Rattus norvegicus: one gene and its partner. Each later gene encodes a partner of the first gene's protein in a complex. Links are inferred from orthologs where the notes say so. Each region holds a gene or a part of one and is shown on either strand. Other genes may lie near its edges.

What was found.
Region 2: the proteins of Dydc2 (region 1) and Nme5 are in contact, whole or in part, in a cryo-EM structure (PDB 8X2U), measured with the Mus musculus proteins. The link is inferred for Rattus norvegicus from reciprocal best matches to the Homo sapiens genes DYDC2 and NME5. Residues at the interface, in NP_001347537.1 of Mus musculus: Asp2, Tyr5, Leu6, Cys9, Phe10, Gly13, Leu14, Leu18, Val21, Ala22, Arg23, Val24, Arg25, Pro26, Asp28, Pro29, Ile30, Glu31, Leu33, Ala34, His35, Leu37, Tyr38, Tyr40, Arg41; in NP_542368.2 of Mus musculus: Arg140, Ala145, Val146, Ile147, Ile151, Pro152, Ala156, Ala157, Tyr160, Ile161, Tyr164, Val165, Thr168, Leu169, Leu173, Leu176, Cys177, Lys180, Pro181, Asp183, Pro184, Tyr185, Leu186, Leu188, Ala189, Asp190, Leu192, Met193, Asn196, Pro197.

What each region holds. Positions count from the first base shown.
Region 1 is NC_086034.1:16,969,164-16,985,134, reverse strand, and holds the start of Dydc2 (DPY30 domain-containing protein 2), read left to right. Parts: upstream 1-9,148; 5' UTR 9,149-9,213; exon of another isoform or gene 9,214-9,355; intron 9,356-9,856; exon of another isoform or gene 9,857-10,106; intron 10,107-10,213; exon of another isoform or gene 10,214-10,321; intron 10,322-11,887; 5' UTR 11,888-11,935; intron 11,936-12,101; exon of another isoform or gene 12,102-12,469; intron 12,470-14,876; 5' UTR 14,877-15,021; intron 15,022-15,971. Other genes in the region: Dydc1 (DPY30 domain-containing protein 1), read right to left, coding at 3,288-3,389, 3,831-3,977.
Region 2 is NC_086036.1:26,445,881-26,461,930, reverse strand, and holds the start of Nme5 (NME/NM23 family member 5), read left to right. Parts: upstream 1-7,102; 5' UTR 7,103-7,504; coding exon 7,505-7,633; intron 7,634-13,002; coding exon 13,003-13,208; intron 13,209-13,392; exon of another isoform or gene 13,393-14,758; coding exon 14,759-14,859; exon of another isoform or gene 14,860-16,050. Other genes in the region: Brd8 (bromodomain-containing protein 8), read left to right, coding at 480-548, 4,869-5,046, 5,726-5,776. UniProt on the Homo sapiens protein: Functions as part of axonemal radial spoke complexes that play an important part in the motility of sperm and cilia. Does not seem to have nucleoside diphosphate kinase (NDPK) activity.

The DNA of each region.
Region 1 (15,971 bases):
CTCCATTGTTGGTGGGATTGCAGACTGGTACAACCATTCTGGAAATCAGTCTGGAGGTTCCTCAGAAAATTGGACATTGAACTACCTGAGGACCCAGCTATACCTCTCTTGGGCATATACCCAAAAGATGCTCCAACATATAACAAAGACACGTGCTCCACTATGTTCATAGCAGCCTTATTTATAATAGCCAGAAACTGGAAAGAACCCAGACGCCCTTCAACAGAGGAATGGATACAGAAAATGTGGTACATCTACACAATGGAATATTACTCAGCTATCAAAAACAATGACTTTATGAAATTCATAGGCAAATGGATGGAACTGGAAAATATCATCCTGAGTGAGGTAAACCAATCACAGAAAAACACACATGGTATGCACTCATTGATAAGTGGCTATTAGCCCAAATGTTTGAATTACCCTAGATGCACAGAACACATGAAACTCAAGAAGGATGACCAAAATGCAAATGCTTAACTCCTTCTTTAAAAGGGGAACAAGAATACCCTTAGCAGGGAATAGTGGGCAAAGTTTAGAACAGAGGCAGAAGGAACACCCATTCAGAGCCTGCCCCACATGTGGCCCATACATGTACAGCCACCAAACTAGATAAGATGGATGAAGCAAAGAAGTGCAGGCCACCAGGAGCCGGATGTAGATCTCTCCTGAGAGACACAGCCAGAATACAGCAAATACATAGTTGAATGCCAGCAGCAAACCACTGAACTGAGAATAGGATCCCCGTTGAAGGAATCAGAGAAAAGACTGGAAGAGCTTGAAGGGGCTTGAGACCCCATATGAACAACAATGCCAACCAACCAGAGCTTCCAGGGACTAGGCCACTACCTAAAGACTATACATGGACTGACCCTGGACTCTGACCTCATAGATAGCAATGAATATCCTAGTAAGAGCACCAGTAGAAGGGGAAGCCCTTGGTCCTGCCAAAACTGAACCCCCAGTGAACATGATTGTTGGGGGGGAGGGCGGTAATGGGAGGAGGATGGGGAGGGGAACACCCATAGAGAAGGGCAGGGGTAGGGGCTGGGGGATGTTGGCCCCGAAACCCGGAAGGGGAATAACAATCGAAATGTAAATAAGAAATACTCAAGTTAATAAAGATTAAAAAAAAAAAAAAAAAAAAGAACCCGGTGAATGTCATTCACGGACGAGGCACCCACCAATAGTCTCGACTTACGAGAAGGCAAAGGTCAAAGGTCATCAGACAGCTTAGTGGGTAAAAGCACCATCAGGGAGCCTACTGACCTGAATTCAATCCCCATAACCAGTCTGAAGGGGGGAAAAACAGAAGCAACTCCACAATGCAGACTTCTGACCTCCGCACATGGGCCGTGGTGTGTATGCATTCTGTTCCCACCCCTGCATAAATCGCACACTCATAATAGTATTCTTTTAATTTTAAAAAGAAAGTAAATGTTAAAAAAAAATAGAAAAGTTGCAGGGTGTGGTGGTACATGCCTTTAATCCCAGCACTTGGGAGCTAGAGGCAAATTGATTTCCGTGAATTGGAGGCCACCCTGGTTTACAGAGTGAATTCCAGGACTTCTAGGGCTACACAGAAAACGTCTATCTCAAAAAAAAAAAAAAAAAAAAGAAGAAAGAAATTTTAAGATTGATTCTCTTATTACAGCAAAAGTTCTTCATAAAACATAGAACAAGCCTGCAAAAAATATTGAGTATCTAAGTAATTCACTTGTTGTCAAAGCGAGAATGACATTTGCCAGTGTGAGTTAATTTAAACAATGTTGATTTCCACATTCAAAGAAATGACTTGTCCCCTGCAGAATCAGCTTGTTTGTATTATTAGACTTTTGGTGAGAAAGCCTTCTCTGCTGGGCCAGCCCTCCTCCTCTCATGTGTTTCTGCTCACCAAACCGACGCCTTTAACCAGCCGCAGTCTCCTTGTAGAATGTCACCGGACCTTCCGCATACCTGGCACAGGAAGTGCTTCGCTTTCAACGCACAGCAGATCAGCTTTGCCGGCTAGCATGGCTAGGAAAATGCTTACTTTCTGGTGTTGCTAACGTTTATTCAAGTAGGGTAAAAGAGATGAGTGAAAGGAAGTGGAGTATCTTCCCGTGAACTCGCTGTCCCAGAGAAGGAAAACTACAGAGATCCCTGCTTCTCTTCAGTAGGACACAGACCAGCAGGAGAAGCTGTCAGGGGAGGATGGGCCAAGGGACCAGCACTATTGTGAATATCGGTCTCGAAACGTGGCGTCATGCAGGCTGAGGATTTTGTTTCAGAGATGCTTCGGACTAGATCTGCTCCAGATCTCTTAATTTTGACATATTTACATATCTTTAATATGTAAATCAAAATAGAAAGATGCCTTAGGTATGGTACCCAAGCCTAAACATGAAATTCAGTTACGTTTTGCCTTCTACCTGAAAATAATTGTATGCCATATTTTAATAATTTTTGCGTGAAACAAAGATTAACAGTGTGGGATTTCTCACTTTTTGGCGTTGTGTAAGTTCACAAAAAGTTTCGTGCTTAGGAACAGTTTTTGGATTTTTTTTTTCAGGTTAGAGATGTTCAACATGTAAAGCTTGATCAGCCCACTCTTTCATCCCCTACCGTATTATTTAATGATAATAAAATATAATTATTATTAGTACCATATTATTTCATTATTCTTCATGTGTGTTCACGGTTGGTTCTTACTTTGTACAGACAATAGAGACGGTAGCATGAAGTCTGCTTTTAACTTGTCACCAGGTGACACACCCACCTAAAACGGAGGCCACCCATTCTCTGTCCCTGAACTACAATAAGAAGCACTCGTCCACTCGTTTACCAGACCCATTTTCTCTCATGCCTGTGGACAGAGCCTCTAGACTATTTTTTTCTACTTTCTAGTGTCACTCATTGTACTCTGTGTGTTCTTAAACCAAAATAAAGCCCACTGCTCGTCCCCTCACAAGCTCCATGAAAGGACTATGCTCACTCATTATCTCTCTCCTCACCTACCGCCCTCCCCCCTGCCCACTCTTCCTAGAGAGATTGCCTGGCCTTAGAATGAGCACCAGCTCAGCAGTGGGGCTGTTGGCTACTGTCCCTTGGCCTCACTGTTGCCTTGGCTTCCACCCCAACTCACTTTCTGGGTTGTCCTATTATCTCATGCTATAGACTTTTCCAGAAAGAGAAACGGAATACTAGAGAGCCATGTCTAAGTGGCCGGAGATCGTCAGTACCTCAGGATGTGGGTGCACTCACCAAGGGCGATGTTCACTTCAGCCACGCCCTCCCTCTTGTCTCACCTGCTGAAACAAGAGTTCCTCTGCTTTGAGTCGATCCATCATTTCCTGCTCCATCATAGCTAATTCTCTCTCGTGCTCCAACGCAATCAGTTCTTTCTGTCTCTAGCAATTGGTATGAAAGCAACAGCACACAGTTAGAGATCCAGAAGTGTGTAAATGCGACCTCAGAAGCGTCTCAATTACAAGCATTAGAAGGTCTGTTAAGCAAATGATGGTCTATTCACTTGGAAACTATGCAACGATTTTGGGGGAGTTTTAGGTTTTAGGTGAATGAAGAATGCAAAATTAAGATTATACCATAAATATAAATAAAAAGAAAGCAGAAAGAGAAAAAGTGTACAGATAAATATGTCAACATATTTGACATATTCAAATACAACAGAAAAAGACAACACAGAGAAGAAAATATTGAAAATCAAAACAAACTTTCAGTTTCCTCCCCTCTCCACTTTTATATATTGTAATAGAAAAACAGATTGAATACAGAAATATAGACAAGAAGAACCAATTGTCATGCTCTTCTAAAAGGAGCCCCATATTTACCAATTGCTCCATGCTCTCGTTTTCCTTGTACTTATAAATCCACAAGGCTAAATATTCAATGGGATCCAGTGGGCGAACTCTTGCAACTTCCGCAAGACCTTGAGTTAGGCAGGTCCCCAGGCACTGTTGAAGGTATCTTGACTCCATTTCTAACTCCTAAATAAAACCAGCCACAGAAGTTTTTCATTAGCGCCAAAAGTGTTCTGAGTAGGCACAGTTCAAAGGAAAGTGGAGGTTGGGAAGTCAGTGGGGGCACACATCTTTAATCCCAGCACTAGAGAGACAGAGGCATGTAGAGCCTGGTCTACAGGGAGAGTTCCAGGACAGCCGGGGTGACACAGAAAAAACCTTGTCTTGAAAAACCAAAACTAAGCAAATAAGCAAAGAGTGATCAAGGGAGGCCACCTGAACATTCTACTAGGCCACTAGTCGTGGTGCTTCTTATAAGGCATGGCATAAGCAAGTTGGCCTCAGGAAGCTTCAAACCATCTACAAGAGAACTCAGCAGTAGCCATAGTTATATTAGCTTCTACATCCCAAAGGCTCTCCAGCTTAGTCCCAAAACCAGGATGAGACATTAGCATTATTAATAGCACTGTGCTAAGTAATGCTGGTGCCAGTTTAAGCCTACCCCATCCGAGGCAACTGGCAGATAAGGTGCTAGACTCAGAGAGCTTGACTGAACAGCCGTGAGCTCTTGGCTGGCAGATTAATGGAGGGTTTGTGCTCACTTCTTGACTTCACGGTCATAACTCTAGTGGCTCTAAGGTGCTTCTCCTAAGCACTTCAATAAAACATCACAAACTGTCCATCTCCTCTGTAAAATCGTGTATTGTCGAAGCCAGAGGATATCAGTTCAAATCCCAATAAACAGCAAGGGTTACTCATAAACTTCTGTGTTAGTCAGGGTTTTCATTGCTGTGAAGCAACACCATGACCAAGGCAACTCTTACAAAGGGGAGCGTTTAATCGGGGTTGGCGTACACTTTCAGTGGTTCACTCTATTATAATCATGGCAGGAGCACGGCAGTGTCCGGGCAGGCATGGCTCGGAGGAAGCTGAGAGTTCTCCATCTTGATCTGAAGGCCTCCAGAAGATTGTCAGTTTCAGGTAGCTTAGGGGGAAGCTCTCCAAGCCCAGCCCCAACAGTGACACGCTTCCTCCAACAAGGCCACTCCCTGGGCCAAGGATATTCAGACAAGCATGTTCCACTCCCTTGCCCCCATAGGCTTGTTCAAATATGGCCTGCGGGGACCATACCTAGCCATAGAATAAAGCAAATACATTTCTTCCAACTTCAAAAATCCTCATACTCTGTCACAGTTTCCTCAAAGTTTAAAAGCCCAAGTTTGAAGTCTCTACTGAGGTTCATGAAATTTCTTAACTGTAATCTCCTATAAAAATCAAAATAAAATATCAGATCATATACACATGGCACAGTACCAAAGCAAACCCAAAAACCAGCTGAGCAAACTCCAAACTCCATGTCTCCAAGTCTGATATCCAACTCCTTTGATGACTACAATAACTTCTCTCCCCTGGGCTGGTTCCACTCCGTTGGTAGCTTTCCTTAGCTTTGACGTCTCTAACATCTTGGGGTGTCCGAGGCAACGTCAACTTCACAGCTTCTTGTTCCAATGACAGAGTCACACATGATCTTCTGGGCTCCTCCTAAGGGCTTGGGTCACTTCTCCAGCTCTGCCCTCTGTAGCACTCTAGGCTCTGGTTGACTCCACTCCACTGCTGCTGCTGTTCTTGGTGATCACCCCATGAGACGGGTGTCTCCAATTCACTGGAGTCTTCTGTTGCAACTAGGCTTCACCAGTAGCCTCTCATAGGCTCTCTTCATGGTGCCAAGCCTCAGTTTCTTTGCATGACCCCTTCAGTCCTGGGCTATCAACTGCAATTGAGGCTCAATCTTCACCAATGTCCTTCCCTCATCTCAGGGCCTTGCCTCAGCTGCTCTCCATGACCACTTTATTTCTTCCAAACCAGTACCACCTGTGTGGTTCTTACCCATTCCAAGTCCAGCTGCAGCACAAGGTGCAACCCGGAACACAGGTTCTGGAACACAGCTTCTTTGTGCTCTCAAAAAACACTTCCCAGATGTTACCTCACTGATATTGGTCTCTTCTTACTCACCACTAATTTCTTAACTGCAGCTAATCAGCATCAATTTTCCCAGTAGTCCTGTCTAGTTTTGACTCTACAGCCAGAGCTGTGTGGCTGAAGCTGGCGAGTCCTGCTGCTTGCCGAGGCTGGAACATTGCTCCCTCGTTCTATTACATTATTACCAGCCTTCTGTTTTCCAACTCCTTCACTGCTTAAGATTAGCTCTCCTGGAACTTGCTCTGCAAACTGAACTTCAACTTAGAGATGTACTTGTCTCAGTGTCCTGAGTTCTGGGATTATAGGTATGTACCATCACACCTGGACCTAAGCTTTCCTTTACTTAGAACTTGCTCCGTAGCAGACTGACCTTGAACTCAGGTATCTGTCTCTCTGTCCTCTCTTCTCTTCTCTTCTCTTTTCTCCTCTCCTCTCCTCTCCTCTCCTCTCCTCTCCTCTCCTCTCCTCTCTTCTCCTTTCTCCTTCTTCTCCTTTCTTCTTCTTCTTCTTCTTCTTCTTCTTCTTCTTCTTCTTCTTCTTCTTCTTCTTCTTCTTCTTCTTCTTCTTCTTCTTCTTCTTCTCTTCCTCTCTCTCTCTCTCTCCCCCCCCCCCCCGCCCGGGATTAAAGACATGTACCATAATGCCTGGACCTAAGTTTTTCATGGTCACTGTTCCTCAAGATCTGGATCAAAAGCATGTGTCATTCTACATCAAGATCCGAATCAAGCCTGTCTCTTCCAACCTTAAGACATGGATCACAGGTGTACTCTCCATTTCTGGACTGTAGTTCATTCTAGACTAAAAGTCAAAATGAAAACAATAACCAGGTAACAATACCTAACGTGATATATAACTATTCCTTGTCCAACTGCAAACACATAAACAATAAGCTTAGCTGGGTGGGATCTTGTCCTGAGGTCACCACTCCCTTAATCTATTTAATATACTTGAACGCAGGATTTCATTCCATTGCACTTCCTGGTGCCCATTTATTATTTGAACCATACATCTTGTAGTTTTTCTTTTTAGGCTTGCTATGCTTAATCAGAGCAATCTTCATGACAGTAATCCAGAGGACAAAGTCTATGCTGGGTGTTCCTGAGACTTTCTTTATCAGTGTGATTAATCTGAGTCCTTTCACCTGAGTCTCAGACAGACTCTTCAGACAAGGGAAAAGAGCAGCAACATTCTTCACCAAAGCATAAGAAAGATCTCCAGAGTTCAAATCACCAATATCTTCTATATTCCTACTAGGACGAACCATTAAGCCTCACTTGAAGCATTCCATGGCTTTCCAAATCCAAAGTCCCAAAAGCCACATTCCTCCAGCCAAAACCATGGTATCACAGCGATCCTCAGTCTCTGGTATCAGCTTCTGTGTTAGTCAGTGCCCGTGACCAAGGCCACTATTATAAGGACAACACTTAATTGGGGTTGGCTTGCATTTTCAGAGTTTCAGTTCATTATCCATAAAGCAGGACCATGGCAGTATCCAGGCAGGCATTGCAGGAGAGAAGCTGAGAATTCTACATCTTAATGTGAAGGCCTCCAGGAGAAGATTGGCATCCTCCTCAGGCAGCTAGGAAGAAGCTCTCAAAGCCCACTTTCAGAGTGACGCACTTCTTCCAACAAGGCCACACCTCCTAACAGTGCCACTCCCTGGACCAAGCATATTCAAACCACCACAGCTTCCCTTAAGACTCACCTCAAGCACGTCCCTGTCATCATATATCCTGGGCTCTTACCCCACTGAATATCCTGCCATATTCTAGCTATCACACTGTGCTTTCCCATCTCAATAATCCTTTCCTCTCTACTCTTGGAACATACCTCCTCCTTCGAGCCACAGATCATGTCTGGCTCTGGAGTTTTGTCAAGCAGTACAAGGGAGTTTCTCCTACTTCAAGTAGCTCATACAGCCCTTGTCATGCTGCCTACAAAGTGTATAAGAGAGTGTTAGTATGTGTGTGCATGCATGCGCATGTGTGTGCCCTGCTGTCTCTCCATGGTGGCAAGTAATCAAACGTGTGCCTACTCTCAGCTGTTCCCCAGTCTTTTCAGGTATGAAGGCAGATACGTGAGTATTTTTTAGGGTGACTATTTCTATTTATAGTTATATAGGATAACAGACCAAACAAATGATCCCACCCAAGCCCAGAATTGTGACCCAATGAGATTAAAAGACCAGAATATGTTCACCATTGCAGTTCTCGACTCCTGTCTCAAAGGTGCAGACTCAAGACTGGAGTGACATGTGAACGTGGTTATTCACACGTTATTATTATAGTCAGACTGAAAGTGCTGTCTGAATGTCCTGGCAGGGGATCAATTACATACAACACCATGGAATCCAGCCACAATATAAGGGGCTGGAAATGCTCTCTAAAATAGGCAGTGGTTTCCTAGTGAGGCACAATGCAGGAGGAAAAGGGAGATGTAGAAATTGCTCCTGCTTCCAAAGGAATATACACGTGTATGTATAGTGTAGCCCTAAGAACGACTGGAGCTGGCACAAATACGCTGATTTCCAACTAGATTGGCACTGGTGTCCTAATCACAGAGAGACAAACACGGCAACTGACTGGGCTGTGTCTTCACGGTGCTTCTTCTGTGGGAAATTCTCTATAGATAAGATCACCACATGGACGTATCAGTGTCATTTATATACAACATGGAATACACTCTTCCTGCTGCTCCAAAAACATAGGATCTGGGGCTCTGGCAGCTGCTTAGCGTTCTCCGTGGGGCTTTCATGAGGTCCCTCTGTCATCTCTGCAACATACATTTCCTGGTCAGGTTAGGAAACTACTAGCCATCTCTTCTGTCCTAAGAAGTGTTATTTCCCAGCAAACACCAGTGCTCATCCAGCTTCACAGAAGAAAGTCCGCTCCCACAGAAACATCTGGAGCAGCTGCTCTGAGACAATGGAGGAGGTTCTCTGCCAGGACCTGGGAAGAGTGCTGGATTCGGCACTCAAAACCACCGCAGACCTAATTTCTGAGAAACAATGAATAATTGTCTTATATATATTTGTGCTAGCAAGTAACCTGCTTATCTAAAAGTAAATTTCAATCAGGCAGCCACCAACCTAGACACTTAGATTAGTTTTCCTATTGGGTGGCTAGAGGGCGGGAGAAGGAGGGGGGGAGGAAGAAGAGAAAGAGGAGGAGCCGGAAGAGAGGAGGAAGGAGAAGGAGTCCTTGCGCTCCAAAGGCTCTTACAGGAGAACTAACCCTCCCTCGGATTCTGAGTTGAGACCTACTTGACTCTCAAGGTGAAAATTTTAGAACTGCTTCTGCAGAGACACTAGAGGGCCGGTTCGAAGGAAAACGCTCCAGCCTCCTTGGTGCACGCATCCGATGCACGTTCTGGCCACACGCCAGTGAGTCGCGTCCCGTTGCCTGGCAACGAGAGCACGCTCTAGTGTAGAGCTAAGGTTCCATTGCAGCCCAAGTAGTGGAGGCAAAGGGAAATGAAAGGAGAATTCGCACTCTAGGGGAGGGGGTGCACTCTCGATAGAGCCAGGAACGCGCACTGTAGGGGAGGGGGCACGCAGATGGGAGAACCAGATTTATGGGAAAGGAAACACTGTGGAGAAACAGCGGGAGGAACCCAGCAGACACGGGGACTCTTCTTAGATAGGAGCCTTGTGGAGCAGCAGATCTTTGAAGTCAGGAGAGACACTTTCAAGGCTGCAGGCTTGTTGGCTTGGTAATTTTAAGACCTTTCAGAGTGAACTCACGGGCTGGAGAGATGGCTCAGCCGTTAAAGGCTAGGCTCACAACCAAAATATCAGAGTGAACTCACACACAAGCAACTTCAGCTAGCCCAAAGACACCCTCCACCAGGCTCTAGCTTGCACTCTCCCCTGGTGTGCGTGGTTAGTTCTTGTCAATGTGACACAAACCTAGATATACCTGGGGGCAGGAAATCTCAAATGAAGAATTGTCTCCATCAGATTGACTCGTGGGCGTGTCTGGGAGGCATTTTCTTGGTTGCTAATTATGGGCATATGTCCACTATGGGGAGTGCTTGTCCCTGAGAAGGCAGGCTTGGGCTGTGTAGAAAAGGTAGCCGAATCAGCCAGAGAACGAAAGCCTTCCTTTCATGGTTACTGTTTCACGCTCACTCTCCCATTGCGTTGCTGGCTTGGCTTTCCTTGATGATAGACTGAGTGTAATCTGTAAACCAAATAAATTCTTCCCCCCTCCCCCCGGGTCATAGTGTTTACCAGAGCAACAAAAAGCAAACAATGGGCCTGGCATTGCTCGGTGGTAGAGGCTTGCATAAATGCAAGAAGGGACGCTGATGGATCAACAGAGTCTGAGCCCTTCCTTTGCCCACCCGCCCCCAACATCAGAGCACTCAGACATCTTTACTCGGTACTGAATGTGGGACAAGTGCCAGGGGTGGTATCCTCAGAGGGCTTGTCGCGTTTAAGCAGTGCAGCAGTCACTCAGTAATCCAGGCATGGAGAGACGCTCTGGCAGTGCATTGGTGATTCTGTGCTGGGATTCTACGAGAATAGCGAGAGGATCAGTGACTGGGGGTTGCACTGGGGATTTCGTCGAGCCACACATATATTCAATCTAAGATATCGGAAGTTGCACTTCACCAAACAACAACTCCTCGTCCGATCACATGAAGCAGCAGGGATGTGGAAAACTTAATCCACACAAACCCTTCTGTATGTTCCGTTTCCCTGTCTTCTGACTTCTAGAAGCTGTCTCTGGACATGATCTTGACTTTCATGCTCCTTCTTCCATGTGTTTTGTCACTCTGCCACCCTCCACGTCTGGCCTTACTGACACCTCTGGCAATTACAGCTGTGCCTATGTGGCGCTTTCCGTGAGAATGAGCCCGAGAGGCTCAGATATTTGAATGCTTGGTTGACAGTTGCTGCAACTCTTTTGAAAGGCTTCGGAGATGTCTTGTTGGAGGAGGTGTGTCACTGGGGGTGGACTTTGAGGTTTCAAAAGTCCACAGCAGGCTCGCTCTGTCTGCCCCTACCTCCAACGTGAAGACAAGCTTTTGAGAACTGTTCCAGCACCGTGCCTGCTTGTGCCCATGCTCCCAATCCCATGGCGGCTGTGATTCCCCCTCTAAAACTGCAAAGCTTCAAGTTAAGTGCTTTCTTTTGTAAACCGTCTTGATCGTGGTATCTCTTCACCACCAATAGAAAAGTAACTGAGAGGTCCCGCTTGTATAACACACACTCCTTATTTAAGATCCTTAATCACAATTCCAAAGCCCCCTTTATCATACAACATAACATCCACAGGTTCCGGGTTTGAGATTATGGGTTCCTGTGGAAGCAAAAATGTAGCACTGGAATAAGCCTTCAAGATGGCTCCTGTGTCTACATTGTCAGAGTCTTACTTCCTGGCATAATAAACTGTCTCTGGCTGCTTATATTTTTTTTTGCCCCAACCCTGGAGCCAAACTTTTCCTTAAGGATCTACGATCCCTTAATTCATGAACAATATTTAATCCCCCTTTGCAGCTGGGTATGGTGGTGCACACCTCGCATCCATCACTGGGAAGGGATCAGCAGGAAAAAGCATGTTCAACCATGGTGGGCTACCTAGGGAGTTGCTGGCAAGCCTAGCACAGTGAAACCCCGCCTCATGGAGAAAAACAAAGAAACAAAGAGTGCTGGCAGCATTCACTGCTCCTGGGGTATTTGCGATTCTAGACTCTGATATCAGTGAGGGGTAAAATGTATTTATATTTTCTATACCAATGTCTAGTTATTCAGTCGTGAGCTGAAAAACTGGGAATATGGAGGCTTGGTGCTAGGAACATATGTTGACAAAATCTTGTTCCGTAATAGCTCCTGTTTCTTAAATTCTTGCTGTATGCCAGGCTCAGTGCCTTTCACGTGATCAGTAGCTCCATTCGCTCCTTCCATATTGTGAGGTATGTATTTTACTTCTGTTTTCTAAAAGGTGCCAAGACTCTGAGACACCAAGCAACTTGCTGACGAGCACACCGCTGTAAGTGGCAACACCAAGACGTGGGCTGTCTGGTGCAGGTCTCTGTGCTGCTGTGGCTCTGCTCTGGTACTGCAACTTCTGTGTCAGACGACATTATCTGCCACTCTTGACACCTATTAGGAAATGCAGGATCATCCGCTCTCCCTAAAGCCGTGCTGTGGTATTGCATGTCAGATGAGGCTTGGCAGGCCCATCATTTGCAGGCCCATCATTTTCTTCCTCCTTCTCTCTCCCTGTAAAGTAAATGAGCCTCTGCTGTCTATGTCATAGAATAGCTTCCAACCTCACAATAGCACAGCTTGCTGTATACACAGAGTTTCTCTCCAGGGCCTTATTTTCTCTGTACTTAAGAGGGAATATTGTGTGGGTTGGTTAAAAGTCTTCAGCACCCTTGACTAATAATGAGCCAGGCCCTTTCAACACTGATGACCACTGGGACTCCTGGTCTGACGTATTCTAGCTGAAAAGCTGAAGAAGCGGGCTTGAACGTAACAGCGATCGGCAAGGGTGATTTGGTTGGTTATTCTAAGAAAGGTAATGTTACGGTTTGCATCTTTTAAGTGACCCCCAAAGTCTTGGTTGCCAGTCTGTAGTTTTAGCTCCAAATGAAATCACAGTTCCTCAAACTCCAGAAGGCAGTCCGAGTATCCAGAAATGGGTCCAGCTTGAACTATAGGAGAACTTGTGGTGCTTGTTAAGAGCCAGCATGCTGCAGGAACTTGTGAAGCCAAAGCCAATTCCTCTCTACCAAAAAAAGTATGTTCCCTTATCACTGGCAGAATGTGGTGCCTATTAGCATACCAAAGTGCATACTGGCCTCCAGGCTCCCTCAGTGTCACACGTAGTGTTTCAAGGTTCATGCTAGCATCCAAGGTCTTCTCACCTTCTCTCCTACCCTAAACTCCATCATGGGCTTCCCTTCCCCCAGCTACTCATTCTCCTTATAACCCTGCTAATCTTGGTATACGTTTCCTGCCCCACTGTGTCCTCCTCTCCCATGCCCTGCTCCTGCTTCTTTCCCGGCCAGGTCCAGTCCACTGGCCACGTTCAGTCTGCTTCTTTCTCTGTCTCTCCCCAGCCTCTCTGCTCCTAACATTTCCAGATGCCTCTGGCTGTTCTCTCTCTCCTATCTACAATAAGAGCCTTCCCTGACCCATACTATGGACAGTCATGCCATCGGTTTGTACGTGTAGTATTGCTGGAGGCTGATGGAGTCTTTAATGGGTAGGGTCTACTGGAGGAAGCTGTATCAGTAGAGCGTGCCCTGAAGGGAACTGCAGGATTCTGACCCTTTATTCTCTCTCTCCTTATTTTCCTGAGGTAGCAGCTTTGTCCTCATATGTTACTCCACACCCTGAGGTTTCTTCTGCTTTCCAAAGGCCCCAAATCAATGAAGCCAAGTAAATATGAAGGCTTGGGCAAAAGTAAACCTTGTCTCTTTAGTTGATTATCTTAGCCTTTCTGTAATAGCAACATTAAGTTTGCTGATACAGAAAATCGGCACCATGAAGTCAGGCTTATCGCTCTGATGACTTGCTAATGTGCTTCAGAAATCTTTGGAACTTGAAAATTTTGGAGAAGCAGGCCTACAGTGCTATAAGCAGAACTCGATGGGCAGTTGTAGCAAGGGCTCAGAAGACCAGAGTACTAATAAGGATATAAACTGAAGATATGACTGATTGATGGTGTGGGTAAGGGGAGGGTTTCATTGTAGATGGAGGGAGAGAGCAGCCAGAAGTATCTGCAGAGTCCAGAGCATAGAGAGAAAGAAGTAGGCTGAACAAGAAGAAGTAGTTGACTGGACCTGGCCATTAGAGAAGCAGGAGCAGAGAGATAAGAGGAGAGGGGTGGGTGGAGAGAGAGAGAGAGAGAGAGAGAGAGAGAGAGAGAGAGAGAGAGAGAGAGAACACGAACATGAGGAGAAGGCAGGAGAAAGAGAGCACATAGCTGAAAAAGCAGAGTTATAAGAAGAATGAGTACCTAAGACGGGGAGGGAGCTGTGAGCTGGGGGAGTTCAGGTAGGGGAGGAGGTGAGAAGAGGAGGCTGGACTTTGAAGTGTGTGACAGGTGCTTGTGACACTGAGGGAGGCTGGAGGCCAGCAAGTGCCTTGGTGAGTTAATAGAAGCCATGGGAATTTGGGGAAGTGGAGCTTTCTTTGGACCTGACACTAAGAATGTGAAGACAGTGTGGAGCCCACAGACAGGTTCCTGAGGTTCGGGTAGAGAGAAGCTCTTACTGAGAACTCGACTGGAGGCCCTTTGTGTTGTATTCTGGCAAACTGCTTGTCTGCATTTGTCCATGCCCGGCAATTTTACATGAGACGGAGTTTAGATGTAGGACTAACCTGGCAGGAGAAGTTTTCAGACAGTCCAGCATTCAGGCTAAGTACTGCAGGCTGTTTATTGCCAGGTTTACCATGAGATTGGGGAGTGAAAAGTAAAGAAGAAAGATTCGAAGAGCTTGCAGTTGAAGGAGTGTTGCATTAATTATTAACACTACTCAAATCGTCCTGCCAGTGGCTGTGGCGTGGGTTCCTTGCCACTAGCCAAAGTGCTCTGGATTCTCAAATGAAAGACACACATGCACGTACACAGTGCACGCACACACACAGCCTTTTATTTTAATACGCCTTAAACAGCTCAATGGCTGGACCCCTCTCAAACTTCTATGTAGCTAATGCCTCCCCTCCAATACTTCTAAACCATTACTTACTAAAAGCCTATATTTTATCTTTGCTATCCAGACCCAATCGGGGGAGAGGCCCCCGGGTCTCTGTTTTCCACAGCTCTCGAGCCTGCATCCAATTCCTTTCCTGGGCTGCTGATTCCCAAATCCTCCTCCTTCCTGTGATTCCCTTGCCCAGGAAATCTTAAGTCTCAAAGTCCTGCTTCTGCTTCCCTGCTCAGCCCTTGGTCACCGGCAACTTCATTTACCCATTAGAACCAGCTGGAGGAAGGGACCCTCAGAGTCTCACACACACCAGATGTGCAAATTCCTGTGAATTTGGAAACCCAGTTAACATAATATAAGCAAATCCCCAACAGAGGAGGAGAGGAGAGTCTCTACAGTCACAGCCAAGCAGGAGGTAATTGCCAGGGAAGTCACATCCTTAGTGGTGGGCACACCGTGACTCACAGCACTCGGGGGTTTGAGGAGGCTAAGGAAGGTGGATCTCTATGAACTTGAGGTCAGCCTTGTCTACAGAGATGCTGTCTCTGCTGTCCCCTACCCCCAGCCCCAAAGAAAAAGAAGTGGACAGATATCTCACATCGGCACAATTGAAAGGATCCTTTGAAGGCATCTCAAGAGTCAACGATGCTCTATACATCAAAGATTTCAAAACATGATTGACGAAGTCATGGAGTTGCATAGCTCTGGGAACACAGGAAGCCCAAGGAATTACTTTTTCATGACTCATTTCCCTGTATTTAAACATCCAGTCGTCTGCAGTTCTGATCCAAGTGGACCCCCCACACCCCCCATACTACTCGGTTCTGTAATTGTGGTTTTGCCCATGTCATGTTGGTCTTTCAGGCATACAGAATGGATGGGCTGTAGGGTCGTGAAGGCTTCCACTTAAAACTCAAAGGAGGCCCTGGAAGACCAGGTAGTGTGTGACAGGACAGAATCCCTGCAGGCAGCTCCAGAGAGGGCAATATCTGAGGCTGTGAGGGTGAAGTGGGGGAGGACCCAGAGATGCCAGAAATGTGGACAGGTGAGCTAGTCCCAGAGAGAGGCCACGTGGACTGCAGCCAGGCAGGCGTAGACAAGAGACTGCCCAGCCCTTAACTTCCATTATAATGCTACTACGCTAGTAGACATGGAGTTACAGGATTTCAGGTTTGCCTTTCTGGGCTTTGGTCTCGCTATGCTTAGATTCCAACATGGCACCCTTTCCTGCTTTACGCTTTAGTCGAAAGTTTTCTCTGTGCAGCTGTCTCTATCTCTTCTCCCTCTTTCTCCTCCTCCTCTTGTTCTCCTTGCAGTATTGAGAATGAAACTGGAGCATGGTGTATGCCAGCCAAGTGCGCTACC
Region 2 (16,050 bases), on another chromosome or scaffold:
GGCCCTGGGTTCGGTCCCCAGCTCTGAAAAAAAAAAAAAAAAAGAAGAAGTAAGAGAGAGAAGAGGAGAGAAGACTATAATAATAGTAAAATATTGGGGCTGGGGATTTAGCTCAGTGGTAGAGCGCTTACCTAGGAAGCACAAGGCCCTGGGTTCGGTCCCCAGCTCCGAAAAAAAGAACCAAAAAAAAAAAAAAAATAATAGTAAAATATTTTGCAGGTTGGACCCCCTGCCCCTGTTTGGGACGTCAACAAGAAGACAAACGTCATCATTGCTGCTTGTTTGGTTTGGCTCTGTAGTCTGGCTCACCTAGAACTAGAAGTCATATGCTGTTGCGAGGCAGGCCTCCAGTTCTTGGTGATCCTCCTCTCTCAGCTGCCTTAGTGCTGCAGGGCCACCATGCCTAGCTCTGTTAGCCCATCTCTTTACGACTGACTCAGCAGCAGCTTCTCCACCCACGCGGCTTTGTTTCTTAACAGGTTTAGCAGCCCATTTCTGAAACCTGTATCAGAAAAGCAGGCCCCAGGATACAAGGATGTGGTGAAAAGGTCAGTAGGAAGGGGCCAAGGCAAAGGTTGGTCGACTTTTTATTATTTATTTATTTTGTTTGTTTGTTTGTTTAGAGCCCGGGGTAGCCTTAAACTGACCAGATAGCTGAGGATGGCCTTGATTGCCCTTCTGACCCTCCTGACTCCAGTTCCTGAGTTCTGGGATCATAGGCTTATAACCAGGCGCTGAAGGTTAGACCCAGGGCTTAGTGCGTCCTCGGTAAGCACTGTCAGCTGTGCTACAACCCCAGGCTGGCTCAGCTCTTTGTTGTTTTTGTCTTGTGGGTTGCCTCATAGTTAAAGTTGACCTTGAATTCCTAATCCTTCTGCTTCTAAGTCTGAAGGGAGTGAAGTGAGTACAGGCTTTTATCTGTCTTTTCAGTCTTTATTTTCTATTGGGCTACTTACTACTTATAAAGATATATAAGTATACTATCTCCAGACACACCAGAAGAGGGCATCAGATCCCACTACAGATGGTTGTGGTTGCTGGGATTTGAACTCAGGACCTCTGGAAGAGCAGCCAGTGCTCTTAACCACTGAGCCATCTCTCCAGCCCTGGGCTACTTATCTTATTTATGGTACTCACAAACTCAAGATATATTCTACAGCCAGTGAAGCTCTGACTTAAAAATTTTTAACATGGGGTTGGGGATTTAGCTCAGTGGTAGAGCGCTTGCCTAGAAAGCTCAAGGCCCTGGGTTCGGTCCCCAGCTCCGAAAAAAAGAAAAAAAAATTTTTAACATGCTTTCTGCTCTCTGCCCCAACATTATCTACATTGGTTTTAAACTTGTGGGTTCCATTTCCTCCCATTCTGCTTCTCTGCTGACTGAGATTATAGGTTTTTGAGACAGTGTACCCCAGGGTGGGCTCAAACTTAGCTGACAATGATCTCGAACTCCCCCCCGCCCCTGAGCCTCCTGCCTCTACCTCTTGAGTACAAGATTTACAGGTGTTGTTAATGTTTGTTTTAAAATGTGTTTGCCATTTGTCTAACTGGAGATGTATCTGCCTCAGTCTACACAGTGCTACAATTACATATGTGTGCACCAATCCCCAGGTCCTTCCACATGTGATAATATTTTCTTTTTTTTTAAATATTTTATTTATTTATTATACATGAGTACACTGTAGCTGCCTTCAGACACACCAGAAGAGGGCATCAGATCTCATTACAGATGGTTGTGAGCCACCATGTGGTTGCTGGGATTTGAACTCAGGACCTCGGGAAGAACAGTCAGTGCTCTTAACCACTGAGCCATCTCTCCAGCCCCTTGATAATATTTTCTTAAAGGAAATTTTAAGGGAGTCCCTGTGTTCATTCAGGAAGATACTTTTAGACATATTAAGATAAAGATGTTAGAAATTAAAAACATTGGCTAAGTGAAGAGTTTTGGATGTTAGCATAGTACATCTAAAACATTGCCATAATGGAGTCTGCCTCTGTCAGTGAGTGTTGACCTTGCTGTCATGAGGACCTGAGTGGATCCCCAGCACCGTGTAAAAAGCTAGGCCCAGTGGCAGTGGCACCTACCTACAGTTGCATTGCTGGGGCTTGAAGACAGGAAGATCCCAGCCAGTCTGGATAGAACAGTGGCTCTAGGGTCAGCCACAGAACAACTGAGGAAGACGCTAATGTCAACCTCTGGCTTTCCTGTGGGCAGGTTCTCTCTCTCTCTCTTTCTCTCTCTCTCTCTCTCTCTCTCTCTCTCTCTCTCTCACACACACACACACACACACACACACAGGTACACACTCATATATACACACACACTCATACACAGTCACATGCACACACACATTCACACACACACTCACAAATACACAGATACATACACACACACACACACACATTTGAGCTATAATAAAATGCCACTAAGTGAATAATTTACGAACAACAGAAATTTATTTCCCATGGATTTGCAACCTGAAAAGTCTAAGATAAAAGTGCCTACAGGCTTGGTGATGAGACAGCTAGTCTCTTCCTCCCAGGAAAGCCACACTGTAAAACCCTGTCCCAGACGAGAGACCTGAGTTTTAGATATTTCAGATTTAGATTTCTGAACCTTGAGAGTGTTATCACTGTAGGAACTATGGGGATTTTTGAAGTTGGACTGAATGTATTCAGATTGACAGTTACCCTGTGAACTTATGGAGAAAGGGAATGAATGGTGTTACTTTAAGTGCCCTCCACAGAATCAGAATATTTGAGTACTTGGTATGTAGCTAGTCTATCATGTCATGGAAGGTGTAGGAGTAGAACAGGAGAGAACAGGCTGCCTGGTCCACAGGAAGCAGGGAGAGAGAGAGAAAGAGAGAGAGAGAGAGAGAGAGAGAGAGAGAGAGAGAGAGAGAGAGAGAGAAGCATGAAGTCTGTGCTCCCCCGACATTTCTCTTGCAGCAGGGCTCTACCTTTTAAAGGTTCCACAACTTTCTTAAGTGGCTCAGTCAGCTGGGGACCAATTGTTCAAACACATGGATGGTAGGGGATATTTTACACTCAGACCACAGCAAGGACACCTCTGATTCTGGTGACAAATGCCAATTTGAGTTCTGCAAAGGACACAGAGGTCTCCAGCTAGTCTTGCCATCTGGAGTCTCGGCTCTGTACATCTGTGTGTTCCTTGTGACGGGGTGGGTTTGCTGCTGCTGTTTTCCACAGTAAGCGTCCTCTGTCTTCTGAGGCATCTGTTGGGAATATTTCTTTTGAGCAGCTTTGTCTTCAACTCTGAAATGTCTTTTTCTATTAAGATTTTATAGCATGAGGTGGGAGGGGATGGAGCGGGAAAAAATAGGAGTTTCTAGCACATCAGGAACCGTCTTTTCTTCTCCTTGGTGCTCCCATGGTTATAGCCAGAAAGGAGCAGCACTTCATCTCTTCAGGCCTCACAGTGGTACCCATTCTTACTCTGGAAGCTAAGGCAGGAATATCACCAAGTGTAGGCCAGCATAAACAATGACAAGACAGATGGCCCTGCAGCTTCCAAGGGCTGGGCAGAAAGTGATGCCACCATGCCCAGCAAACCCCCATCTCAAAAAAAAGCAGTCACAGAGTGCCTTGGGTCAGCAAGCCTGAGAGGCTAACTCCCTGAGACAATGCAGTAGAAGAGCAAGTTCAAGGCCAGCCTGGCAGCTTCATAAGACCTTGTCTGTACAAATATAAAAGGAGGGCTGGGACAAAGGTTCATTGAGAAGCTACTTGCCTAGGATGTGTAAGGTACTAGGGCAGTGGTTCTCAACCTTCCTGATACAGTGACCTTTATCACAATCTCTCAGGTTGTTGTGACCCCCTGCCCAAAATTATTTTGTTGCTACATCATGACTGTACTTTTGCTACTGTTTGGAATTGTAATAATGTAAGTTATCTAACGTACAGGACATCTGATATGCGATCCCCAAAGGGGTTGTGACATATAGGTTGAGAACTGCTATCCTAGGTTCAATATCCACTGCTTCTAAAATGTAATGATGATGGTAAGTGATGCCTACATTGTGTGTTCATTGAGTGATTTACTGTGGAATGTGCTCGGTGTAGTGCTTGACCTTTATAAAGGATCAGGTGTGGTCTGCTATTTTATTATTGTGTGAAAAGTATTATCTTTGCTAGTTTCTAGTTTGATTTCCATTGCTGTGGTAAACAACATGACCAAAGTCAACTTGGGAAAAAAGGTTTTTCTCTTTCTTTCTTTTTTTTTTCTTTCTGGGAAAAAAAGGTTTTATTACTGCTTATAGGCCATCATCCAGGGAAGTCAGGACAGGAACTCAGAGCAGGAACCGGAGGCAGGAACAGAAGCAGAGGCCATGGAGGGTGCTGCTCACCAGCTTGCTTGTGGCTTGCTCAGCCTGCTTTCTTACAGAACTCAGGACCACCTGCCCAGGAGTAGCACTACCCACCGTGGGCTGGACTCTCCCAGATGCACCATTAATCCAAAACCAAAACCGAACAAACCAAACCAAACCAGAGAAAACAGCTCCTACATGCCTGGAGGACAGTCTAAAGAGACATTTTCTTAATTGGGGTTTCCTCTTCCCAGATGACCTCAGTTTGTATCAAGTTGAGAGAGGAAAACAGAAGCAAAACAAAGCCCTGTAGTCGCTAAGGTTCACTAAGACCCAGTTCTCAAGAGCTTGCTATAGGCACTACGGTTTTTGCCTGTTTGTCCTGTCTGTTCTGCAACAGGGTCTCTCACTCACACTGACTTAGAATCACTGTGTACCTCCCTCTGTCCTCAAACTCATGGTAATCTTCCTGCCCTGCCTCCAGAATACTAGTTCATTAGACCTTACATATTCAGGTTTAGTTTCCTCTCCCTTCCTCAGACCCATGGACTTAACAACGCTGAAGAGGAATCTGTCTAAGGGACGAATTCACACTATGGCTGAGTTCCAGAGGGATCTGATGCTAATGTTCCAAAATGCCGTGATGTACAATGACTCTGATCATCACATATACCACATGGCGGTGGAGATGCAGCGGGAAGTCTTGGAGCAGATCCAGGTACTGTACAACACAGAGTGCCACAAGGCAGGGAGCCATGGATTCTGGAGTGGGATTCAGAAGCCTGTGTGAATAAAGATGTAATGGAAGTGACCTCGTGTTCTTAGAGTTTCTTTTCAGAGATGATGGCAGAGCCTGTGGTAAACGTGGGTGTTCTCTTGTGACTGGGAAGCTCCTTGTCCTCATGGGCCCAGATTTAACACACAGTGGGATAAGGATGTCTGGGAAGGCCAGCAGCAAAAATGGCAGGAGATGAGCAAGTGATGGATACTTCTGTTCTCAGAGGCCCGAGTTGTAAGACTGAAAGCCAGTCAGGTGTTGGACCACTGTCCATGTCTCTTTTGTTGTGACTGTTGACATTATTATTTTTTTTTTTTTTGGTTCTTTTTTTTTTCGGAGCTGGGGACCGAACCCAGGGCCTTGCACTTCCTAGGTAAGCGCTCTACCACTGAGCTAAATCCCCAGCCCCGACTGTTGACATTAATGTACATGTATCCGACCCATATTTGGAGGAGAAGTCATAGTGAGTTCAAGGAGACATGTAAGGGTTTCTCTTTTGGGAAGCATCAAACTTTAAAAGGTGTAGTTTTATCTGTTTGACAATAAAAATAAATAAAATTTCATACACTTGCTCTGTGGCTTTAAGGTTCATGGCTTCCTGTCTGCATTCCTCCTGTAGGTTCTGAGTACTTGGCTGGATAAAAGGAAGGACCTGAGTAGCCTGGAATGAGTGCAGCTAATCCAGTGGACCAAGGAAGCCTGTTTTGTTAGCTTCGAACTACAAGTCTGATTCTTTCTCAAGTTACAGCTCTCCTTAGGACTGGCCAGAGAAGAAGTGGAAACTTCTCTTCTCCACTACTTTTCAAATAAGGATAGTAATGCCTCACCTCCTACCTCAAAAGTCAACGGTGCTTGCAATGTAGTATTTTTTAAAGGGGTGGGGTAGGGTACCGAGATCTGGATTTATGATGTAAATATTGCCCACATTTTTGTTGCATAGACTTAAAAGTAATTTGATTGAACCTTTTGTTTCTCTATAAATAAATAGTTTGCAAACTAAAGATTTTGTTTGGTTTTTGGGGCACAGCATCAAAACCCAGGCTTTCCTGGAAACCCCCATTGCATCCAGCCTCTGCCTCTCATGGAGTGCTGGGATTAGAGGAACTCAACCCCAGACTACCTGACCTTGCAAAGGGGGCTTCTAAATGATTAAATAAGCTGGATGATGGGAGCAGCATCATATGGTGAAGCACAGGAGGTATTTGCTGGGAATATAGCTCAGTGGTCAATTGTTTGCCCAGGTTTGATCCCAAGCACCACCACCCACACCCCAAAACAGAAAGAAAGAAAAAAAGAAAAAGAAAAGGAATGAGGGAAAGAGAGAGTAAATAATAAATTTCTCATTAGTCTTTCATATAATGACCAGGAGGAACTGGAGTGGACCGAGAGAGGTGTCTGATTTATCTCATTTACAGATAAGGAATGCATCCTTCAAGCATGTACCATGAAGAAAAGAGATCAATTAGAGAAGAGCTGGTGCTAAGGCTCAAAGGGTAAAGAAGACCACTTGAGTTCCGTCCCTGGAAACCACAGAAACGCAGGAAGGACTTGACTCCACAAAGTTTTCTTACCTCCATATCACACACACACACACACACACACAGAGAGAGAGAGAGAGAGAGAGAGAGAGAGAGAGAGAGAGAGAGAGAGAGAGAGAGAGAGAGAGAGAGAGAGAGAGAGAGAGAGAAATGTGTGTAGTACTCTAAGACTCAAAGAGAATAAAATGTACACGGCTAATTATTGCCTTAGGTTAAAATTAACTAGAGTCTTAAAAAAAAAAAAAAGGGGGGGTTGGGGATTTAGCTCAGTGGTAGAGCGCTTGCCTAGGAAGCGCAAGGCCCTGGGTTCGATCCCCAGCTCCGAAAAAAAGAAAAAGGAAAAAGAAAAAACAAAAAAACAAAAAAAAAAACAAAAACAAAAAAAACGCGGCTGGGATTGGGCCTCTGCAGCCACCGTTAGGAAACCAGCTTCGGTCTCTTAGCAACGAACGGGCTCTGACAACACCTGAACTGAGGCCAGTGCTGGGAGGGTCTCAGGTGGAGATTTCCCGAGAACTTTGGGACCCTGCCTTCCTGTCATGCCTAAGCCTGTACAAAGTGGTCCCTACAAGGTGGGGACCCTTCGCTAGGGCAGCCGGCTAGGGCCTTCCCGTACTCCTGGAGAGCAACACTGATGCCATCCAGCCTCCAGCCTCAGTCGAGCGGCTAGGGCTCCCCTTTCTCTGTATAAGTCGTATTCTTGCAAAAGCATACGTAGAAAAGCATAGTGCTTTCCATTTTTATAAATTAATCAAATCTAGTACCAGATTTTGCCACAGGCTGATTTTGGGACGGGGACTCGTGTCGTTGCTGCGGATAGCTGGTCAGGAGATTTGTAAATTGTACCGGAAAACGCCAGAATGGAGGTATCAATGCCCCTGCCTCAGATATATGTAGAAAAAACCCTAGCCCTTATCAAGCCAGATATTGTTGATAAAGAAGAAGAGATACGCGATATTATCTTGAGATCCGGATTCACTATTATACAGGTAACTTCTGGCGTCTCTTTTATTAGTTTTCACTATACTTATATAAATGTAGCCACCCGTTTAGATCCTTAGTAACATTAAATTTACATTTATAAATATAAAGGTTATATATAAACTGCGCATGTAAGCACACATGCCTGTAATCTCGGAATCAGATAATGGAGGCAGGTCAGCCCTGTACTGACTTCCAAGTTCAGCCTGGGCTCTGTGAGACCTGTCTCAAAAACACGTTACAAATAACAGACAAGTTTTCACACTTGTAAGGATATAGAATAAGACATAAAAGAAGCATGCTGCCTTTTTCTTTTCCTCTGCAGGTCAGCTCTAGGGAGAGGCAATGACTTAACTACATTCTTTCTCCTGGGTGTTTCTAACATTCTGGATCATTAAACCAGAATCTACTTATCCCTTCTGAATTATGTGCAGTATTCCTGTGTATACTTTGGTTCCTAGTGTCAGTAGGTTTTTTTGTTTTGTTTTGTTTTTTCTTTTTGTTTTTGTTTTCAAGAAATGGCTTCTCTGTATAGCCCTGGCTGGCTTGGAACTCACTTGTAGACCAGACTGGCCTGGAACTCAAAGAGATCCAAATGCCTCTTCCTCCCAAGTGTTGGGATTAAATGTGTGCACCACCACACACAGCAAACATTTAGTGTTTTAAGGTCAACATTTGTTCTGTAGTTGGTAAACAGGGTCAAAGAAGCCAAGCACCACAGAGGACATCGAGAGCTCAACTTGGACTTCACAGTGAGTCCCAGACCAGCCTGGGGTACGGGGATGCAGGCCTTGGAAGTAGTGACATAGACCTGTGATCCCAACCCTAGACAGGGTAAGACTGGAGGATCTTGAGTTCCCAGCTATCTTGGGCTTCACAGAGTTCTTAACTGTCCTCTAGTAGACAAGATCTCTAACTAAAAGACAAGTGTACAAATAGATGAGGTGGAACTTAGTGCTTGTAATATTTTCTTTGACTTTCACTTGAACTACAATTCTAAGAGAATAAAACATTATTTTTATTCTTTTAAATGCATATGTAGCTGAGTGCTGTGCTTTTCATCCCAGCACTGAAGAAGCAGAGATGTGTGTTTCTGTTGGGTTCAAGGCAAGTTCCTAGCCAGCCAAGGTTACATAGTGAAACTTGTAACACTGACTTAAAATTCTTATATAGTATCATATTATCTATTTTTTGCTGAGCAAGCACAAGGACATGAGTTTAAATTCCCAGCATCCATGTAAAAGCCAGGTGTGATGGCAGCACCCGGATATAATCTCCGTCTGGGGCGGCAGGGCAGGAGGACCAAGTAGTCTTGCCAACTTGGCCAGCTTGAGGTAGTGGGAGACGCAAAGTGGTGAGCAAGTGCGGCTGGCACCCAATGTGGACTCTGGCTCCACACATGTGGCATCTGCACCCCCACATGTGTGCATATACACACGGACACAGACGTGTGCATGTGTCACCCACAGAGATGACATAGTGGGGAGATTTTGACAGAGTTGAGATGGCACAGAAAATACTCAGGTGAACACAAAGTCTTTAATAAATGTTATGAAATTTGAGTCCTTTTTTTTCTGAGGTAGCTATAAATGGATCTAAATATTTAAAAATTAAACTTCTAGGTGGGGCCAGGGTGTAGCCCAGTGCTGGAGTACAGGCTTAGCAAGCATAAGGCTGTGAGTTCAATCCCTACCACCCCTCTCCACCAAAAATAGTAAATTGTGTTTGTAGCTTCTTCTAGAAGAAAAAAATAGATAAACAAACACTTGAGGAAAAAAGATTCTTAAAAATCTAGGTTCTCATCCCAGAGAGATGGCAGAGGCAGGCAGATCTCTGCTCTACATAGTAAGTTCTAGGACAGCCAAGGCTACACAGAGAAACCCTGTCTGAACAAACAAGCAAATAACTCAAGTTCTCAGGTGGATGTGCAGCTCAGCTGGTGGACCATGTGCCTGGCAAGTATAAACCGTATCTTCCAGCAGTGCAGACCCTGAAGTCCCAGTGCTCAGAAGACTAAAGGAGGAGGACCGGACATTTAATGAGGTTATCCCCAGCTACATAGTGAGTTGGAGGCTAACCTTGGCTACATGAGACTCTGTTTAAAAATCCAAAGTGGGGGTTGGGGATTTAGCTCAGTGGTAGAGCACTTGCCTAGCAAGCGCAAGGCCCTGGGTTCGGTCCCCAGCTCCGAAAAAAAGAAAAGAAAAAAAAATCCAAAGTGAACAAAGGAAGTCTCTTGATACATAGTCCAGGATGTCCTCCAGCACAGGTGACCTCCTGCCTCTCCTTCATGAGAACTCAGATTAAGGTGTTCTCCTGTGTTTTGTTTTCTAAGATGACTTCATTAAGTAGCTCCTGTGGCTTCAGTTATTCTGCTGCAGGCTCATGAGTGCTGGGATAACACACAATGTACCACTCACTATGCCTAGCTTGATTTAAGTGTTACAGGTTTATTTTTAGAAAGGTGAGGGAACTCTGACTTCTGTACCCTGCACACTGAAGATGTTTAAAGTTATTTATTTATCCCATTTATTTTTGATTTTTCAAGACGGGGTTTTTCTGGGTAGCCCTGGCTGTTCTGGAACCCACTCTGTAGACCAGGCTGGCCTCAAACTCAAAGTACTGGGATTAAAGGTGTGTGTCACCACTGCCTGGCTAAGTCCTTTAAAAAAATCTCTCTGTCTCTCTCTCTGTCTCCCTCTCTTTGTCTCTCTCTCTCTCTCTCTCTCTCTCTCTCTCTCTCTCTCTCTCTCTCTGTGTGTGGTGTGGTTGTATGTGAGGATGTGTTTGCTTGTGGTGGTAGGTAGAGTAAATGGATATGTGGATATGTGTGTGTTGTGTGGTGTGGTTATATGTTTGGGGAGGTGTGGGGGTGTTTATGTATGTGGTGGTGGTATATAGGTATATGTGTGTGTGGTTATGTGTGTGTAGTGTGGTTATATGTGTGTATTTGTATGTGTGTGTGTATTGTGTGTGTGTTTATGTATGTGTGTTTATGTGTGTATACAAGTTACCTCAGGCGCCAGGCCTTACCTTTTTTGTTGTTTGGAACAGGCTCTCTTGTTTGCTACTGCAAAATCAAGGCTAATGGGTCATAGGCCTCTAAGGTGCCTCCCATCTCCAACTACCCTCTCTAGAGGTATACAGGGGTTACAAAGTCACTCTACAATGTTGGCCATTAGGGAAATTCTGGGGATCCAAACCCAGGCCCTGACACTTGAGCTACCAATGCTCCTCTGCTCACTGAGCCATCTTCTAATTCTTTAAATCCATATTAAAAAACGATCACTGATAAATAGACTTTGTAATTAAGTGGCTTGTGTTTATTATAAATTAAAACTCAAGAGTTTGGCACAGTAGCACACACCTTTAATCCAAGCACTCAGGAGGCAAAGGGAGGTGAATCCCTGTGAGTTCTGGGCCATCCCAAGACTACACAGAGAGACCCAGTCTCAAAACAAGAACATAACAAGCAATTAGCAGATACATAGCAGCGAATGCTAGGCTGGCTGGCTGTGGTCTGTGCTGCTGCTGCTGCTGCGACACAGCGATGTCTTTGTTTTGCTTTAATTTTTTTCCATAAAATTCATACTACATCAGTTGTACCATTTAAATAATTTTTAAGGTACAATGCAGCAGCATTAAATAAACCCACATTGTTTTGTGGCCTTCAACAGTATTCATCGGTATTTTCTCATCTCAAGCTGGAGCCGTGAACTTTTTTTTAAGATTTTTTCTCTTTATTTCATGTGCATTGGTGTTTTGCCTGCATGTATGTCTGTGTAAGGTGTCAGATCCCCTGGGACTAGGGTTACAGACAGTTGTGAGCTGCCATTTGAGTGCTTGGAATTGAACCCCTGTCCTCTGGAGAGCAGTGGATGCTCTTAACCACTGAACCACCTCTCGGCCCGTGACCTTACTTTTAGAGAGGGAGGAAGATGTATTGTGTGTCCACCTCCTCCAGCCCCCAGTAACCACTGTCTTAGTTTTTAAGTCAAGAAATGTGACTCTCCCGGCTATTTTAGGTCGTTGGAATTGAGGATGTTTTTAAGGTTTGTTTGGCTTTATTGTGGTAGATTCTTGGACAGCTCTGAAAACTTCTCCCTCTGTCCAGCAGAGGGCAGTAGCTTCTTTGTCGAAAACTATGTGTTCTGTTACATGTATTTGATATCGATGTTTCTCAAACTGAATTTCAAACGATTCAAACCTGATCGCATTTTAAAGCATTTAAAGTAGAATCGTTACTTTTTTCTACAACTTTAAAGCTGAACTCTAAATATTTAACATCATACTGCGGGAGCTAGCACGCCTGAGGAAAGGGCGCGTGGCTGCTGGGCACGCAAGGAGCCCCTTTTAGGGAGAGGAAGGCAGGATTACACTGGCAGTCAGCCTGGGCTACATGATAACACCCTGTCTCCAGACAAACAGACAAACAAACAAGCAGCTCGTGTACCGGACACAGGGAGGTGGGGTGGACTCAAGCAAGGAGTCATGTGAGAGCTTGACTTCTTGGCAACTGGCTGTAGAGTTTATCAGAATAGTCCTTTATGTGATCTGGGGAATCTTTAGACCCTTTAATACCATGTCTGGAGGTAAACTAGCGAATATTGTTCCGGAGACAGGGTCTCTGCCCTAGCCAGCCTGGAACTCACTATGTAGACCAAGGTTGCCTTGATTGCAGGGCGAGTGTGTGAGCGTGTGTGTGTGTGTGAGCGTGTGTGTGTGTGTGTGTGTGTGTGTGTGTGTATACATACATGTGTGCAAGAGTGCCGGGAGAGGGCATCAAATTCCCTGTAGCTAGAGTTACAGGTGTCTGGTGGACATCCTACTTGTCACGTAGGTGCCAAGATTCAAACTCTGGTCCTCAGGATTGCTCAGGAAACACTCTTCAAAAAGATCTTTTTAGCCAGGTGCTGGTGGCACACACCTTTAATTCCAGCACTCAGGAGACAGAGGCTGGCCGATCTCTGTGAGTTCTAGGTCAGCCTGGTCTACAGAGTGAGTTCCAGGATAGCCAGGGCTACACAGAGTAATCCAAAAAAAAAAACAAAAACAAACAAACAAAAAAAAAAACCCCAAAAAAACATTTTTATATTTACTTGTGTGTGTGTGTGTGTGTGGTGGTGGTCTAAAAAATTGAGGGAATCCATTCTTTCTTCCTCCCCTCCTGTTAATTCTGGGGAATGAACTCAGAACCTCAGCCTTGGCCGCAGCCCAGGAATCATTTATTTAAGTGGGATAAATACTTCCTCTGAACACATTTAATCACCATTTACTTTCTGTGTAATAACACAAAGATAATTGCAGGCATGTGCCACCATGCCTGGCAAGGTACTAATGTCTTAATGAGCTTTTGTCGACTTTGTTTTGTTTACAGAGGCGGAAACTACACCTGAGCCCTGAGCATTGTAGTAACTTTTATGTGGAACAGTATGGGAAAATGTTCTTCCCAAACTTAACAGCTTATATGAGTTCTGGACCTCTTGTTGCTATGATATTAGCTAGACATAATGCCATCTCTTACTGGAAAGAACTTTTGGGACCAGCTAATAGTTTATTAGCCAAGGAGACACACCCGGACAGGTAATTCCCATTGAAAGTGGGTTGAGGGATTGAAGCCTGCCTTAAGGAGAGAAAACAAAAGAAACAAAAAAGCCAGAGCCTGCCATCTTCACACTCAGGCCTCCCAGCCTGTGGAAGTTTCCTACGTGAACTTCTCTCTGGTGCAGGGCAGTGGATTTGACATCCTCAACATTGCAAATCTATCTTTTTTTTTCTTAAAGATTTATTTATTTATTTATTTATTTATTTAATGTATACGAGTACACTGTAGCTGTCTTCAGACACACCAGACCTCATTACAGATGGTTGTGAGCTACCATGTGGTTGCTGGGAATTGAACTCAGGACCTCTGGAAGAGCAGTCGGAACTCTTAACCGCTGAGCCATTTCTCCAGCCCTGCAAATCTATCTTAATATCCAGTGCTGTAGAGGGCGGCAGAGAACAACTCACTGACTGCTGGTCAGCCTGGCATTAAACTGCCTCTAAAGAACGAGTTCCTGATTAATTGATTTTGGTTTGTTTGTTTGTTTGTGACAGGGCTTCTCTGTGTTGTCCTGGAGCTTGGTCTTTAGACCAGGCTGGCCCCAAACTCACAAAGATTCCCCCTGCCTCCACCTCCGAGTACTGAGGTATACACTGCCACCACCCTGCTTTTGTTTATTTGTTTTAATGTTTTTTGAGACTAGTTCTTGCTCTGTAGCCTAAGCTGGCCTATAAGTCACTGTGTAGCCCAGGCTAGCTTTGAGTTTGTGACCATCCTCCTACTTCAGCCACCCCCACCAACCCCCAGTCCCCGAAATCGGTGCTGGGTTATATATAGCACATAGCTATGAAGTCAGATTTGTAAAATTACATTTTATTTATTTATTGCTTGTGGGCATGTGTGTCTTGCACACGTGGAGGTCAGCTACAACTCGTGGGATTTTCTTCTTTTCCACCCTATTAGTTCAAGGACAGAATTCAGATCATTAGGCTTGGTGGCAAGTGCTTTTAGCAGCTGAGCAACTCACTGATCCTGAAATAGGATCTTTAATAAGAAAGTAAGACTTTTTAAATTTTGTTTTCCAGAGATGGTGGTACATACATTTAACCTCGGGACTTCAGAGACAGAGGCAGGCAAATTTCTGAGAGTTTTGGGCCAGCCAAGGCTATTGCAACATGAGCACTAGTTTCCAGAAATGAAAGTTATTGCAGTTTTGAATTTATATTTCTTTTCATGTCTCATAAAATACTTTCTTCCCCTAAAGACTGCTTGTTTCCACAGTGGATGCTACTGGCATACAGAAATGTATTTGGCCCTCATCTAAGTAGATTAAAAGCTTAAGATTAAATTAGTGATGAATTGTCTAAAAAAAATTAGAAAAAAATGCTGGCAAGATGGCTCAGTGGGTAAAGTGAATGCTGCCAAGCAGAAAGATCTGGATTTGAACTCAGGACCCATGACCTTGAAGGGAAGAACCACTCCCAGAGTAGTCCTCTGACCTCCTCCTGTGCCTCCTCCCTCGAACTCTCTAATGGGAAGGATGGAAGGTGTGTCAGAATGGAGGGACAGTGTCTTTAATTCTCTCTAGCTTAAGGGCGATATACGGCACAGATGAGCTAAGGAATGCACTTCACGGGAGCAACGACTTTGCGGCCTCAGAACGAGAGATTAGGTTCATGTTTCCAGAAGGTGAGTCTGTTGCGCCTGCTTTCTTCACTGCGCCTCTTAAAGTTTATTTTGTATCTTGAAAAAAAGTGGCCTGGTTCCATAGTGTAGCGGTTATCACGTCTGCTTTACACGCAGAAGGCCCCGGTGGAACCACGTGGTGTGCTAGTTACTTTTGGGCTGGAGAGACGGCTCAGGGGTTAAGAGCACAGACTGCTCTTCCAGAGGTCCTGAGTTCAAATCCCAGCAACCACATGGTGGCTCACAGCCTTCTGTAATTGGATCTGATGCCCTCTTCTGGTGTGTCTGAAGACAGCTACAGTGTACTTACATATAATAAATAAATCTTTTAAAAAAAATGGCTGGGAAGGAAGATAGAATTTTCCCTCAAACATGCTTTGGTATATTTTCAGGCTTTGAGTCATTAAAACTTAAAGCTAGAAGGGTCTGGGATGCAGCTCCGTTGGTTGTGGGGTTTGCTGAGCTCCTGGGAAGTCCAGGGTTCGAATCCCAGCACTAGATAAAGTAGGGCATGGGGCCACAAGTCTGTAATCCTAATCTTAACCCTACAGAGTGAGGGCAGGAGGATCAGCAGTTCAAGTGTTGGTCCTATGGGAAGTTGATCTGGGCATCTCCAGACCTTAGCTCACAAGAAATCAAAACAAAAACAACAAACAAAAAAGCCTCTCAGCACCTGGCAGGTGGGTCTCTGCAAGTTCCAGGCCAGCCAGGGCTACATAGAGACCCGTCTCAATGCTACAAAGGCTAAACCACGGGCTGGAGGGAAGGCTCAGCAGCTGAGAGCACTGGCTGTTCTTGCAAAGGACCAGAGTTAAGTTCCAAGCACCATGTGGGCTCACTGCAGTTCCCAACTCTAATTTAGAGACTCCAGCACCCTCTCTGACCCCCCTGGGCACCGAGCATACAGCTGGTGCAGGTACATATATGCAGACAAAACATTCATATACATAAAATAAGTGTTTCTTTAAAAAGCAGTAACAACCAGAAAACCAAACAAAACAAGTCTAGAAGCCAAAAGTAGAAAAGTAAACATCACCTACAGTGTCCCTTGGGAAGCTCTAGAGAGGGGCTTGCTTGCTAGCTTGCTTTCCTTCCTTCCTTCCTTTTTTTTTTTTCTTTTTTTTCTTTTTTTCTGGAGCCGGGGACTGAACCCAGGGCCTTGCGCTTCCTTGCTCCATGCCATGTAAGGCATTT